3 linked regions of the Caenorhabditis elegans genome follow. The protein of the gene in region 2 purifies or fractionates together with the protein of the main gene of each other region. This does not show direct contact. Each region holds a gene or a part of one and is shown on either strand. Other genes may lie near its edges. The genes, in order: orc-4, orc-2 and orc-3.

Evidence for each region.
Region 1: the proteins of orc-2 (region 2) and orc-4 purify together in Caenorhabditis elegans (affinity purification with mass spectrometry, with the first as the bait; one study listed by BioGRID). This does not show direct contact.
Region 3: the proteins of orc-2 (region 2) and orc-3 purify together in Caenorhabditis elegans (affinity purification with mass spectrometry, with the first as the bait; one study listed by BioGRID). This does not show direct contact.

Annotation. Positions count from the first base shown.
Region 1 is NC_003281.10:10,644,076-10,647,829, reverse strand, and holds the start of orc-4 (ORC (Origin Recognition Complex) subunit), read right to left. Parts: upstream 1,661-3,754; 5' UTR 1,660-1,660; coding exon 1,562-1,659; intron 1,481-1,561; coding exon 1,416-1,480; intron 1,014-1,415; exon of another isoform or gene 1,013-1,013; coding exon 540-1,012; intron 213-539; coding exon 44-212; intron 1-43. Other genes in the region: orc-1 (Origin recognition complex subunit 1), read right to left, coding at 1,871-2,134, 2,413-3,022, 3,600-3,703.
Region 2 is NC_003280.10:10,871,983-10,875,736, forward strand, and holds the start of orc-2 (Origin recognition complex subunit 2), read left to right. Parts: upstream 1-1,948; 5' UTR 1,949-1,951; coding exon 1,952-2,127; intron 2,128-2,761; coding exon 2,762-3,331; intron 3,332-3,386; coding exon 3,387-3,486; intron 3,487-3,754. Other genes in the region: cyn-4 (Peptidyl-prolyl cis-trans isomerase 4), read right to left, coding at 1-323, 370-490, 546-624; copz-1 (putative coatomer subunit zeta), read left to right, coding at 930-947, 1,011-1,082, 1,141-1,228, 1,279-1,504, 1,559-1,709.
Region 3 is NC_003281.10:1,206,031-1,209,784, forward strand, and holds the start of orc-3 (ORC_WH_C domain-containing protein), read left to right. Parts: upstream 1-2,102; 5' UTR 2,103-2,109; coding exon 2,110-2,231; intron 2,232-2,351; coding exon 2,352-2,694; intron 2,695-3,156; coding exon 3,157-3,378; intron 3,379-3,754. Other genes in the region: Y119D3B.12 (LUC7 related splicing factor homolog), read left to right, coding at 823-831.

The sequences.
Region 1 (3,754 bases), on a different chromosome or scaffold from region 2:
TGGGTTTTTTCTGCCTTTTTCAAAGTTTTAGCAGAATTTCTACCTTTTAAAATCAACAATTTTCCATTATACGAGGGAGAAGTCGTCTCGACAATTTTACGAATCTGTTTGCTGATTTCCTCGGGTTTCCACGTGTCTTCTACGTCACAATAGTAACCGAAAAGCATCAGGAATTGCGCGGCCAATTGTTTCAGAACGACGTAGTGACTTGTCTGAGAATATGGACTTTAATGGGGGTTGAAAAGCCGAAAAATATGATTTTATTTGTTTTATTTTCATTTTTGGAATGAAAATGTTATCCAATTTAATTATCGTAAGATTGTACGGATATCTCATGCTAAATTGGCTATAAAATCATGAAATACCCTCGCATTTTATGAGAATTAAATTGGATAACATTTTCTTTCTAAAAAGAAAATAAAAAAAAACAACTACAATTTTTGATGAAAAAAATCAAAAAAAAAGGTGGAAAATTTGAGTTTTTTCAGCTTTTTCGTGAAATTTTCAGCTTTTAAGAATGCTTCTTCACCAAATCTCACCTCAAAAACCGGCCTAAGCCATGTCTGAAAGTTCAAATTCTTCACAAATCTCTTATAGCACTCGGATTCTTCGCATTTTGAGCCGCCAGGAATCAAAAACTGCGTCAACGCTGCACAATACTCCTCATAATCGTGTGTCGCGTCAAATGACACCTGAATTTTCGGAATTCTCGACGTCGCCTGTTTCTGAAGGTTCTGAGCGAAATCGTGTCGGGAAACGGAGAAAAAGACGAGCCACGAGAAGTGTGTCGCCTTGTCAACCATCGTGTAGAGGAACTTTTGCTGCTGTGGAGTGATTAATTTGTCGGCGTCTCGCACTAAAAACACAAAATATCCTTCGTCATCCTCCTTTGCGAGTTCCTGCTGATAATTTGGATCGGCGGCAACGAAGCCTGCGTTGATTACTCGTAATTCCTTGTGATATTTGTTGAGAACCTTCCGAAGTGTGCTTTCTCGGCCGCAATTTCGTTCTCCTGCAATGAAAATCGATAAAAAATTGTTGAAAATTCAATATTTAAATGGAGAAAACTGCGAAATTTTGTATAATTTTGAGTACATTAGATGACGTTTCAATAAGGAAAATGAGCAAATTAACAACTTTATTTTTAAAAAATCAACAAAAAACCGTGCCGCACTGTCATAATGGGCTCAAAAGACCGAAAATTAAGAGATTTCTCGCAAAAATCTAAAATTTTAGGCAAATTTTAAGCCGGAAAATGAGCCGAAATATGCATTAAACTATATTAAATTATTAAAAACTATGTTCGAGCTGAAGCCAAAAGATAAATTAGGAGAAATACCAGATTTACCAAGATTCCGCTTTTTTTCGAACTTTTTCGGTCGTTAGAGCAGATTTTGAGGCGACAATAAATTTACCTTCAAGAAGAGCACATTTTCCATCTTTCGACTGCAGAAAATCATAGACAATATTCTCGATTTGCCTGAAAATAGATAAAATATTTGGGAAAATCACAAATTTTCAATAGCAAGTCCAGTGGGGCGCGCTTGCATCAGGCACTCACCTCTCTTGTTCCGTTAGTCCGAAGACCTGATCGTCGAGCAAATCAAGAGCTCGCCGAGCATTTTCCGCTACAATTTCTTGATCGGAAGGTGATAGCATTCTGGGAAATGTTTAACAAATTATTTTGATAAAAATTTAGAAGAAAAAGTATAAAAAACAGGTGGAAAACTGCTTGGTGATTGAAATGACTCCGGTAAAGTCACAGCAAACTCAAAGTCCATATTTTATTTTAATTGGAATTTTAATGCAAAATAAGTCAAAAAAGAATCTAAATAGAACGTCCTTGGAGGATAACACATAAATATAAAATTTAAATTGAATAAATCGATTTATTCTTCTCAATCGCCGCTTTGATCGCCTTTTCAGCTTCCATCGACGTCATTCCCAGCTTCACACGTCGATTCATCATTCCGTGATCTCCTTTCGACAGATTTATCAATGAAGTGCTCGCCAGTTGAAGGAGCATTCCGTAGGCGAAGCTATCGGTGGCCGGGCCGATTCCAGAGACTTCTGAGCAGATTATGCAGTAGTTTTTGTAGATGTTTGCGAAGATGATCTCCTCTTGTTCGCGGGTCTACAAAATATTCAATTTTAGGAAATGTTCAAATTTCAGAACAGTTCAAGGTTTTTTGCACAAATTTTAAATGATTTCCTTACTAGTTTTTTCTGAGAAAATTTAAAAAAACTGGAAAAAAGTATGGAAAAATGTGGTGATTTTTTGTATAAAATAGAGAAATGAGTGGAAATTATTGAAAAACTTGGAATTTTTTCTTTGCACACTAACTTTGCTCCGAAAATTAGTAAAAATTCTAAAAAGCGATTTTCTTTCTACAAATTCAAATTAGCCTTAACCATAGATTCAATTGTCCGGAACAATGTGAATTGATGAAGCCTTAATCCCTTTACAAGACGATATTTAAGAGGTTCCAGCACCGCATTCTGAGCAGCAATCACATGCGACAACTCGAGCTTTTCCGATTTTCTCTCTACTGCAACACGAATCGCTCGACACAGAAAATCGAGAGCCTGCCGTAAGTCTCCAGTGTTCATAGCGACCTTCTTGGCGACAAGTTCAACAGCTTTCGGATCAATTAAATTGGATCCTTGGAGCCTCGCACGCACAATTTCCTCGATTTGCTCGTGTTGATAAGGCTGGAATACGAGGCGACGTTTGTCAAGTCGACTAGCATTCCGTTGGCAAAGCATTCGTTCCGGGAAGTCCAAAGTGTTGGCAATACCGATAATAGTGACTTTAGATTGTGGAAGTGCTGTCCATTCAAAGATATCATAGAGAACATCTTGTTTTCTATTGCACAGACTATCCAGTTCATCGATTAGCACAACAATTGGCGGTCTTTTCGGATCTTCTCGCTTGAAAATTGAGTTGAGCTCTTGGCGAGCAGCGGTAGCTGTGATTTTTGCTCTTTGAGGCTTTTTCGAGATGTTGTACTCTTCTTGGATGCTGAAAAATATTGAAAATTTCAGTATTTTTGCGTACAAAAACGATTATTTTACAAAAAAACCGATTTTTTAGGGTTTTGAAGAGAAAAACCCCAAAATTTTCAGATTTTTGAGGTTTTTCTAACATCCTATCGGGAAAATGTTCAAGGTTTCACGAAATTCACTACTTTAGATCATTTTCATAAAGTAAAAACTAGCAGAACCCACTGAAATTCGTTTTTTTATCGACATTTTAAAGTTACTTTTTTGCGTTTTTTTATAATTTTAAGTCGAAATTTTTTTAAAGCAAGGAAAATACGTCTTTTTAAGCAGTTTTTTGACAGTTTTCAGCATAATATTTTCTTTAAAAACTTGCGATTAAGCTGAAAACTGTCTAAAAATGCTCAAATTGATCCATTTCCAAGCTTTAAAACAAAAAATTCCCCGTTAACTTATGAAAAAACTCAGAAATTAGCCAACAATTTTCGAAAAATTCGAATTTCGGAGGATTCCGCGCAAAATTTTGAGCATTTTCCAATGAGTTCTGCAGTTGTTAGATGGAAATTGTTCGATTTTCAACTTTTCCGAGACGTCCTTACCCGTTGTAAATCTCTACGAATACAGTTTTTTTGAAGATCATCGCATTGACCTCGACGTACACGAATTTCTGACACTTTTTGCTCTTTTTCATCGAGTTGACGACCTGAAAAATAGAATTTGAAAACCAGAAATTTGGAAAAATAATTTAAAAATT
Region 2 (3,754 bases):
ACTGCTCCATATTGAATTTTTCCAAATGATTTGGGTCTTGAAGATCAATTATATCAGCTCTTGTGAACGGAACATCGGTTAGAAGATCCTTGAGATGATTTCTTTTTAAATTCAATTCTTGCACGGCTTCATGAGAATAGACGTTTCCGGAAGTAGCGATGGCCAGAATATGACTGTGGTCCGTGAATGTTCTGAATGTAACTGGGCATCGGAACTTTCCATCTTCTCCTTTATCGAATTTCAAGTGGATTAGATCCTTGGCAACCAACGGTTTTCCTGTACACGGGTTTTTGCCATGCTTCTTCAAGTAAGGAACGATAGCACTGAAAATTTTTTAATAAAAAGTAAAAAAAATAAACAGAAATTTACGTTAAATCGAAAATTTCTCCTGATCTTGCGCAAACTGGGTCTTCAAACGGTAGAAGTGACAGCGAGCAATGGTTGATGGGTAACCTTTTGAACTGTGCTCTTTGGAGTCTTGTTCCAGTATCTGAAATATGAAATTAAATCTTGTTTTTATTTATAACTCGTGTTTAAATAAAAACCATCTTTATGTCCTCCAATCGATTTCCATTCAGAAGTGGTCAGATAGAGTTTATCTTTCTGATGTTGCTTTTTTCCCATTTTATCTGAAAATAATACAAATAAATACTAGTTACATTTATGTAGTTATTAAGCTTAATTAAAATGCCGATTGTTAAAAATTGCGAAAACAAATCGGCTCGTAAATCTACACGAAAACCTAGGCCGGCGGCCGCCAGCCACCTCGGGTCTCGCCACGATCACATGTCGATTTACGCGCTCAATTTCATTGACTATTGACGTGGATTATCTTGTTTCTCAATGTTTTTCCTCCATTTAAATTGTTTTTCAGAGATAAATTTTTAATTTTATAGGTAATATTAGCAAAAGAGAGGATTTGCAATAAGATGGCAGACTTTGACACTGTAAGTTTCATTTGCAGCTTATTATTGAAGTTTTTTTTTTTTAACTAAAAAGCGAAATTTCAGAATCCAACTTCTCTGTACAGTATCAAAGGAATTGTGATTCTTGATCAGGATGGAAACCGTGTTCTTGCCAAGGTTTGTCGTTTATTTCACAATTACCATACAAAAAACTCGAAAAAATATCGATTTTCAGTACTACGACCGTACAACCTTTGGAACTGTCAAGGAGCAAAAAGCTTTCGAGAAAAGTCTCTTCTCGAAAACTTCCCGCAACACTTCAGGTTTGGCTGATTTTTTTTTGATGAAAACAATAAAAATTAAACATTTTAAGCCGATATCCTGCTTCTCGACGGAGTGACTTGCTTGTACCGCTCGAACGTTGATCTGTACTTCTACGTGCTCGGATCGACCCGCGAGAATGAGCTTTTCCTCGACGCAACTCTCACCTGTCTCTACGATGCTGTGTCTGTCGTTCTTCGCAAAAACGTCGAGAAGAAGGCTCTCATCGATTCCATGGACACTATCATGCTGATTATTGACGAAATCTGTGATGAAGGGTTATTTTTTTTTATTTCTAAAAGTATTCAACTGATTTAAAATAATTATTACAGAATTATCATGGAAACTGACGCCCAGGCTGTCGTCCAAAGAACCGCTCTCAAATCCGACGAAGTCTCATTCTCCGATCAATCCGTATCACAAATCGGCTTCTCGTTCATGAAATCTGCCAACGAGCAGTTCAAATGGTCTCTTCTCAAGTAAATGGAATTCTATAAATTATTTAATTTAAAATGTGATATTTATAATCTCTCCAATACTCTTTTGTGAATTAAAATGAATAAACCTCGGATAAAATGGTGTTTTCATTGTAAAAATTGTTGATTTTGTGCTGTTTTTGTTGAGTTTTTGGTTCGTTTTCTTAACGCCTAACTATATTTTCAGTTTAAAGCTTAACATTTCCTGCATGAATCTAAATATCTATTTTTCAATTTTAATTTCAGAAAATGCCACGGCCAAAAATTTTGAAACGAGCAACTGTCCAGCCCAGTGCCGCCGTTCCTGTGAAAAAATCGACTCCAGAAAAAGAAGGATCCAGACAGAAAAAGACGAATGGAAAAGAGAATGCTTCTAGAAATTTGCAATCAAATTTAGAAGAAGATTTGGAACAACTGGGCTTCGAGTATGTATCTATTATCCAGATGAATTCTTGAGCAAAACCGGGTCTCGACACGGCAATTTTTGTTGAAAACAAAACGGGGGTGCGTCTATAAGGAGTGCTGTATTATCACAATATGTGTTCTTAAAGGCGCACAGATCTATTCAGGCGGGTCTCTGCGCGGAAAACAGTATCGTAGTATTTTCTTTTTCTTTAAATTTTTCCGGTTTTTTAATAGAATAATAGAAGGAGAACTAAATACAAAAAACGGAGTAATTTCTTGAAAAATGAAAGTAAAAAACTACCATAAAATTTAAAAGTTTTTCGCGCGCCGAGACTCATCTGAATGATTCGGTGCGCCTTTAATAATGGTAGGCCAAAATTTCGTTGCGGAATTTCCATCGATTTTTCATTGTTTTTTGTTAAAATTTTTTTTAAATAAACAAAAAACTAGGATAATTAAAAGCGCATGAATTTTAACGAACAATCGATAAAAATTCCACAGTTTGAAACTACAGTACTCTTTAAAGGCGCACACCCGTTTGTAATTCAAAAAAAATTGTCGTGCCGAGACCGGGAATTTTGGCGCAAAAATTAGAAAATCTTCCATCTAGCTAAAAATAAGTACATTTTCGAAGCAAATCAATCATTTTTCCAGGGATGAAACTGTATCAATGGCTCAATCAGCAATCGAAAATTACTTTATGCAAGGAAAATCGGCGTCAGAACGAATGAATAATGCGAAATCCCGTCGTGGAAGACGTGCTGGAAATGGAAATACTGAAGAAATTGAGGAAGACGATGAGATCAGTAATGCTATCACTGATTTCACAAAATGTGATCTCCCTGGACTTCGAAATTATATTACCAAAAAAGATAACACGGAATTCGAAAAACGATTGGAGCATCTCGCGGATAATGATTTCGGAAAATGGAAGCTTTACCTAGCAGCTGGATTTAATATTCTTTTGCACGGTGTCGGTTCGAAGCGTGATGTTCTCACAGAATTTGAGAATGAGCTATCCGATTATACATATATGAGAGTGGATGCACGGAAAGATGGGCTCAATGTAAAAGTTCTTCTTGGAGCTATCAATGAGAATATGAAGCTGAATTGTAATGTGAAGAGAGGCCAATCTACGATTAGTTGGGCTCGATCTATTCGCAGAAAAATGAATAGCCAACAGTTGATTCTTATCATTGATAATATTGAAGCTCCTGATTGGAGGTGAGGGGAATTCGCTTTTATTTATGTATAAAAAATTAATTTTAATTAATTTCAGAAGTGATCAAGAAGCATTTTGCGAACTTCTTGAGAATCGGGATTCGGTGAAATTGATTGCTACAGTTGATCACATTTACTCGACGTTCATCTGGAATTCGGTGGGTATCTAAAATTTTAATTTTCGAAAAACAGAAAATTATATTTTTTTGTTATTTAAAATTATTTTTTTCTGTAGAAATTTATATATTTTAGTATGTTTTTTGTTCATAAATATAATAAAAATTTGACAGAGAGAAAAATAAGAGAAAATAAGAAAATCTTAAAAAAATCGAATTAATATTTAATCTGAAAACGGCAAAAAATCGAAAAAAAAACAATTTTGAAAAACAGTCAAATTTATGGCAAAAAAATTTTAAAAAAATCGCT
Region 3 (3,754 bases), on a different chromosome or scaffold from region 2:
AAAATTCGCTGAAATTTACCCAAAAATCAGAATTATCGGTCAAAATTCCGTAAATTCACGGGATTTTGGCTGAAAATCAGAATTTTCGGCCAAAATTCATGAAAAAAGTGGAATTTGGCTGAAAATCAGCGAAAAATGACATAAAAATTAGAATTTTGAGCCAAAAAATGGAATTTGATTTGAAAATTCGCGAAAAGTAACCGGAAATTCAGAATTTTCAGCCAAAATTCATGAAAAACATGGAGCCTAACTGAAAATTCGCGAAAAATGACCGCAAAACCAGAATTTTCAGTTAAAATTTATGAAAACCATGGAATTTGACTGAAAATTGCATAATTTTGAAGATTTACCTGCAAAAATCGATATTTTTTGCTTTTTTCCCTGAAAAATCGATAAAATACCGATTTTCAAGTGGAAATCGATAAATTTTGGGGATTTTTTTAGAAAAAGCGATAATCTTTTGATTTTTCACTGGAAAATCGATAAATTTCGAACAAGACTTTGTAAAAATCGAAAATTTTTGGCTTTTCTAACTGAAAAATCGATAATTTTCTAATTTTTAACTAAAAAATCACTGACTTTCTAATTTTTCCTGTAAAAAATCGATAAAAAACCCAAAATTTCTCTTCGAAAATCGATGTTTTTCGGCTTTTTCACTAAAATCTCAATAATTTTCAAATTTTTCGGGAAAAAATCTCGATTTTTGGCTGGAAAATTAACAATTTTCACATTTTTCCTGTAAAAAATCAATAAATTTCCACATTTTATACCAGAAAATCGATAAATTCCCGAAATTTCTCTTCGAAAATCGATAATTTTCAGCGCCACTAGACCGCCGCCGCCGCCGTCGTGCCGGGACCCAAAATTCTCCAAATTTTTGCACAATCTTCTCTTGTTAGCTCCCCACCAAAAGTACGTTTCCTTCAGCGATTCGCAGGTGAGTGGACCGCCCCTCTAATTACAGATTTTCAGATTTTTTGGGCCTGAAAATAGGCCGTTTTAAGCCCAATTTTCGCTCGGCCCCGCCCCCTTTTCAGGTTTCTGTATCCCCGGAATCTTGTTCGCCGATCTATGAAATTTTGTCAGTGTGTGTTGATCAGTTAGTTGACTATCATCGACCCAAAATTATCGATTTTTCGGGAAAAATTATTGATTTTTTTCAGATTTCTCTATCTACACCGAGCCGCCCACACGTTTTCACCTGCTAATTATCGATTTTTTTAAATTGATTTTTTATTATTTATCTCTCTGTAGAATCTTTTTGGTCTGTGAATTGGAATAAAATTGATTTTTCGAAAATAAAAAAAATAATTTTTTTTAGGTTTTTAAAAAGATTTTCGCGAAAAAATGAGGATTTTGAGAGAAAAATCGATTTTTCGACAAAATTTTTGAAATTTCAGTGGTTTTCATGTGAAAATTTTGAATTTACGCGAATTTTTTCAATATTTCGACGATTTTCGCTGGCAAAAACTTAAAATTTAAGGCATTTTTCGAAGTTTGAAAAAATTTGGCCCCAAAATCGATTTTTTGGCCAAATTTTTGGATTTTTAGCGGTTTTTTTGTGGAAAATTCGAAAAAATGCTTATTTTTGCGATATTCCAAGGTTTGAGGGCAAAAATTGGAAATTTGAGGCATTTTTTGATTTTTGGAGAAATTTGCCGCAAAAATCAATTTTTCGATGAAATTTTTGAATTTTTAGCGCTTTTTGTGTTAAAAATTCGAATTTATTGCATTTTTTCTGATATTTCGACGATTTTCGCGGGCGAAAATTGAAGATTTGAAGCATTTTTTCGATTTTTTAAGAAATTTGCCGCAAAAATCGATTTTTCAACGAAATTTTCCGGTTTTTTACAAGAAAAGGGGTTTAAAACGCAGTTCTCATAAAATTTTACGTCTTTTTTCAACAATTTTACCTGAAAAAACCCAAAATTCACACGGAAAACCTCTGTTTTTCGGTAAAATCGGTACAATTCACCTAAAAATGCAATAATGCAAGCGCGCTCCACTGTACAATTTCAGTTTTTTCTGGGCGCGGAATTCGAATTTGAATGGGTTTTTCGTCGATTTTCAGCCATTTCCCATCAATTTTTGCCAATTTTCAGTCAAAAAATGACGCCCGGCATCACTTTTCACCGCGGAAACAAGAAATTAAAGCTAGGAAAGGCGGAAATCAACGAGGCAATCGAGTTTCCCGAGGATTTTGAGTTTTGCTCAATGGAACAGGAGAGGAGGTGGGTTTTTAAACAAATTTCAACTGAAAATTGTTAATTTACACTATTAAGTTTGAATTTGAAGTAAACTGTAAACTGAAAAAAAACGTAATTTTTCACTAAAAACGGTTTTTTTTCCAGATTTTTCAAAAATTTCGTCGATGACGTCACGAGATTCGACGAAAAAATGGCTCACACCACGGCGAGCATCTACGACACGGCAACCAACGAAATCGCCACTTGGATCCTTAAAAAACCCGGAAAATCGTCGAAAACGAAGGGAATTTCGGTTTTTTCGCCGAATGAGCCGATTGGGACGTTAAAATGTGCTCTGGTTCAGTGTAATTTTACGGATATTTCCCGGTTGATTGGTGATTTTCGGCAGAAATTACTGGAAAAATCCACGGAAAATCTGGAAGTCAGGGATCACTTGGTGACGGAGAACGACGCGATTCACGAGATTATTGATCGGATTTTGGAGAAGGTAGCCGCGACCGCGACCGCAACGCATGACGAATTTCGATTTTTTTTTTGGTTTTGAACTTGCTCGACAACCAGGAAAAATCGATTTTTCCGGAAAAAAACACCAATTTCCAGACCGCAACGCACCTGAAATTCAAAAAAAAAAAGTCGAGAAAATCGATTTTCCGTCAACCGCGACGCGACCGCAACGCATCCAAATTTATTTAAAATTCAAAATTTCCGGAAAATTATCGATTTTTTAACGAAAAACACCAAATTTCCAAACCGCGACGCGACTGCTACGCACCTAAAATTCAGGAAAATTCAAATTTTCCCAAAAACTATCGATTTTTAAACGAAAAAAAGGCAAATTTCCGAACCGCGACGCGACCGCAACGCATCGAAATTTTTAAAAAATTCAAATTTTCCAGACCGCGACGCGACCGCAACGCACCATATTTTTAAAAAATTTCAAATTTTTCAGAACACGTCCTCAACAACATGCCACGTCATCATAATTCGTCAATTCGAATCTCTCCGTCCCAATTTCTTTGCGTCTCTCGTCTCTCTTCTCTTCTCAAATTCCACGTGTCGCCGTCTAATTCCACGTATCAAACTGATGACGTGTGTCTCGACGTCACCAGCGTTTTTTACGCAAAATTGCGGACTTGAGACGGCAAATTTGATGGATTTGACGCATTTTAGGGTGATTTTCGACTACTTTTCGGCCATGGCCTAACTTTTGCACAGTGTAGAAAAGTTAGGCCATCGCTTGAAAATTGAAGAATAAACTCGGAAAAGTTGGAGAAAATCAAGGAAAATTCAAATTTTTCGATTTTTTCGTGTAAAAACTGCAAAAATTTTGAATTCCCGCTGAAAAAATAGTGGTGGCCTAACTTTTTATCAACTGCAAAAGTTCGGCCACCAGTGAAAAATCGTCCAAATCGATGAAAATTATTTTAAAAATCTATAAAAATTTATTTTTTAAAAAATCTTAGCAGGTGGCCGAACTTTTCACGAAATGCAAAAGTTCGGCCACCTGCTAAAAACTCGATTTCTTACCGAATTTATCGATTTTGAAG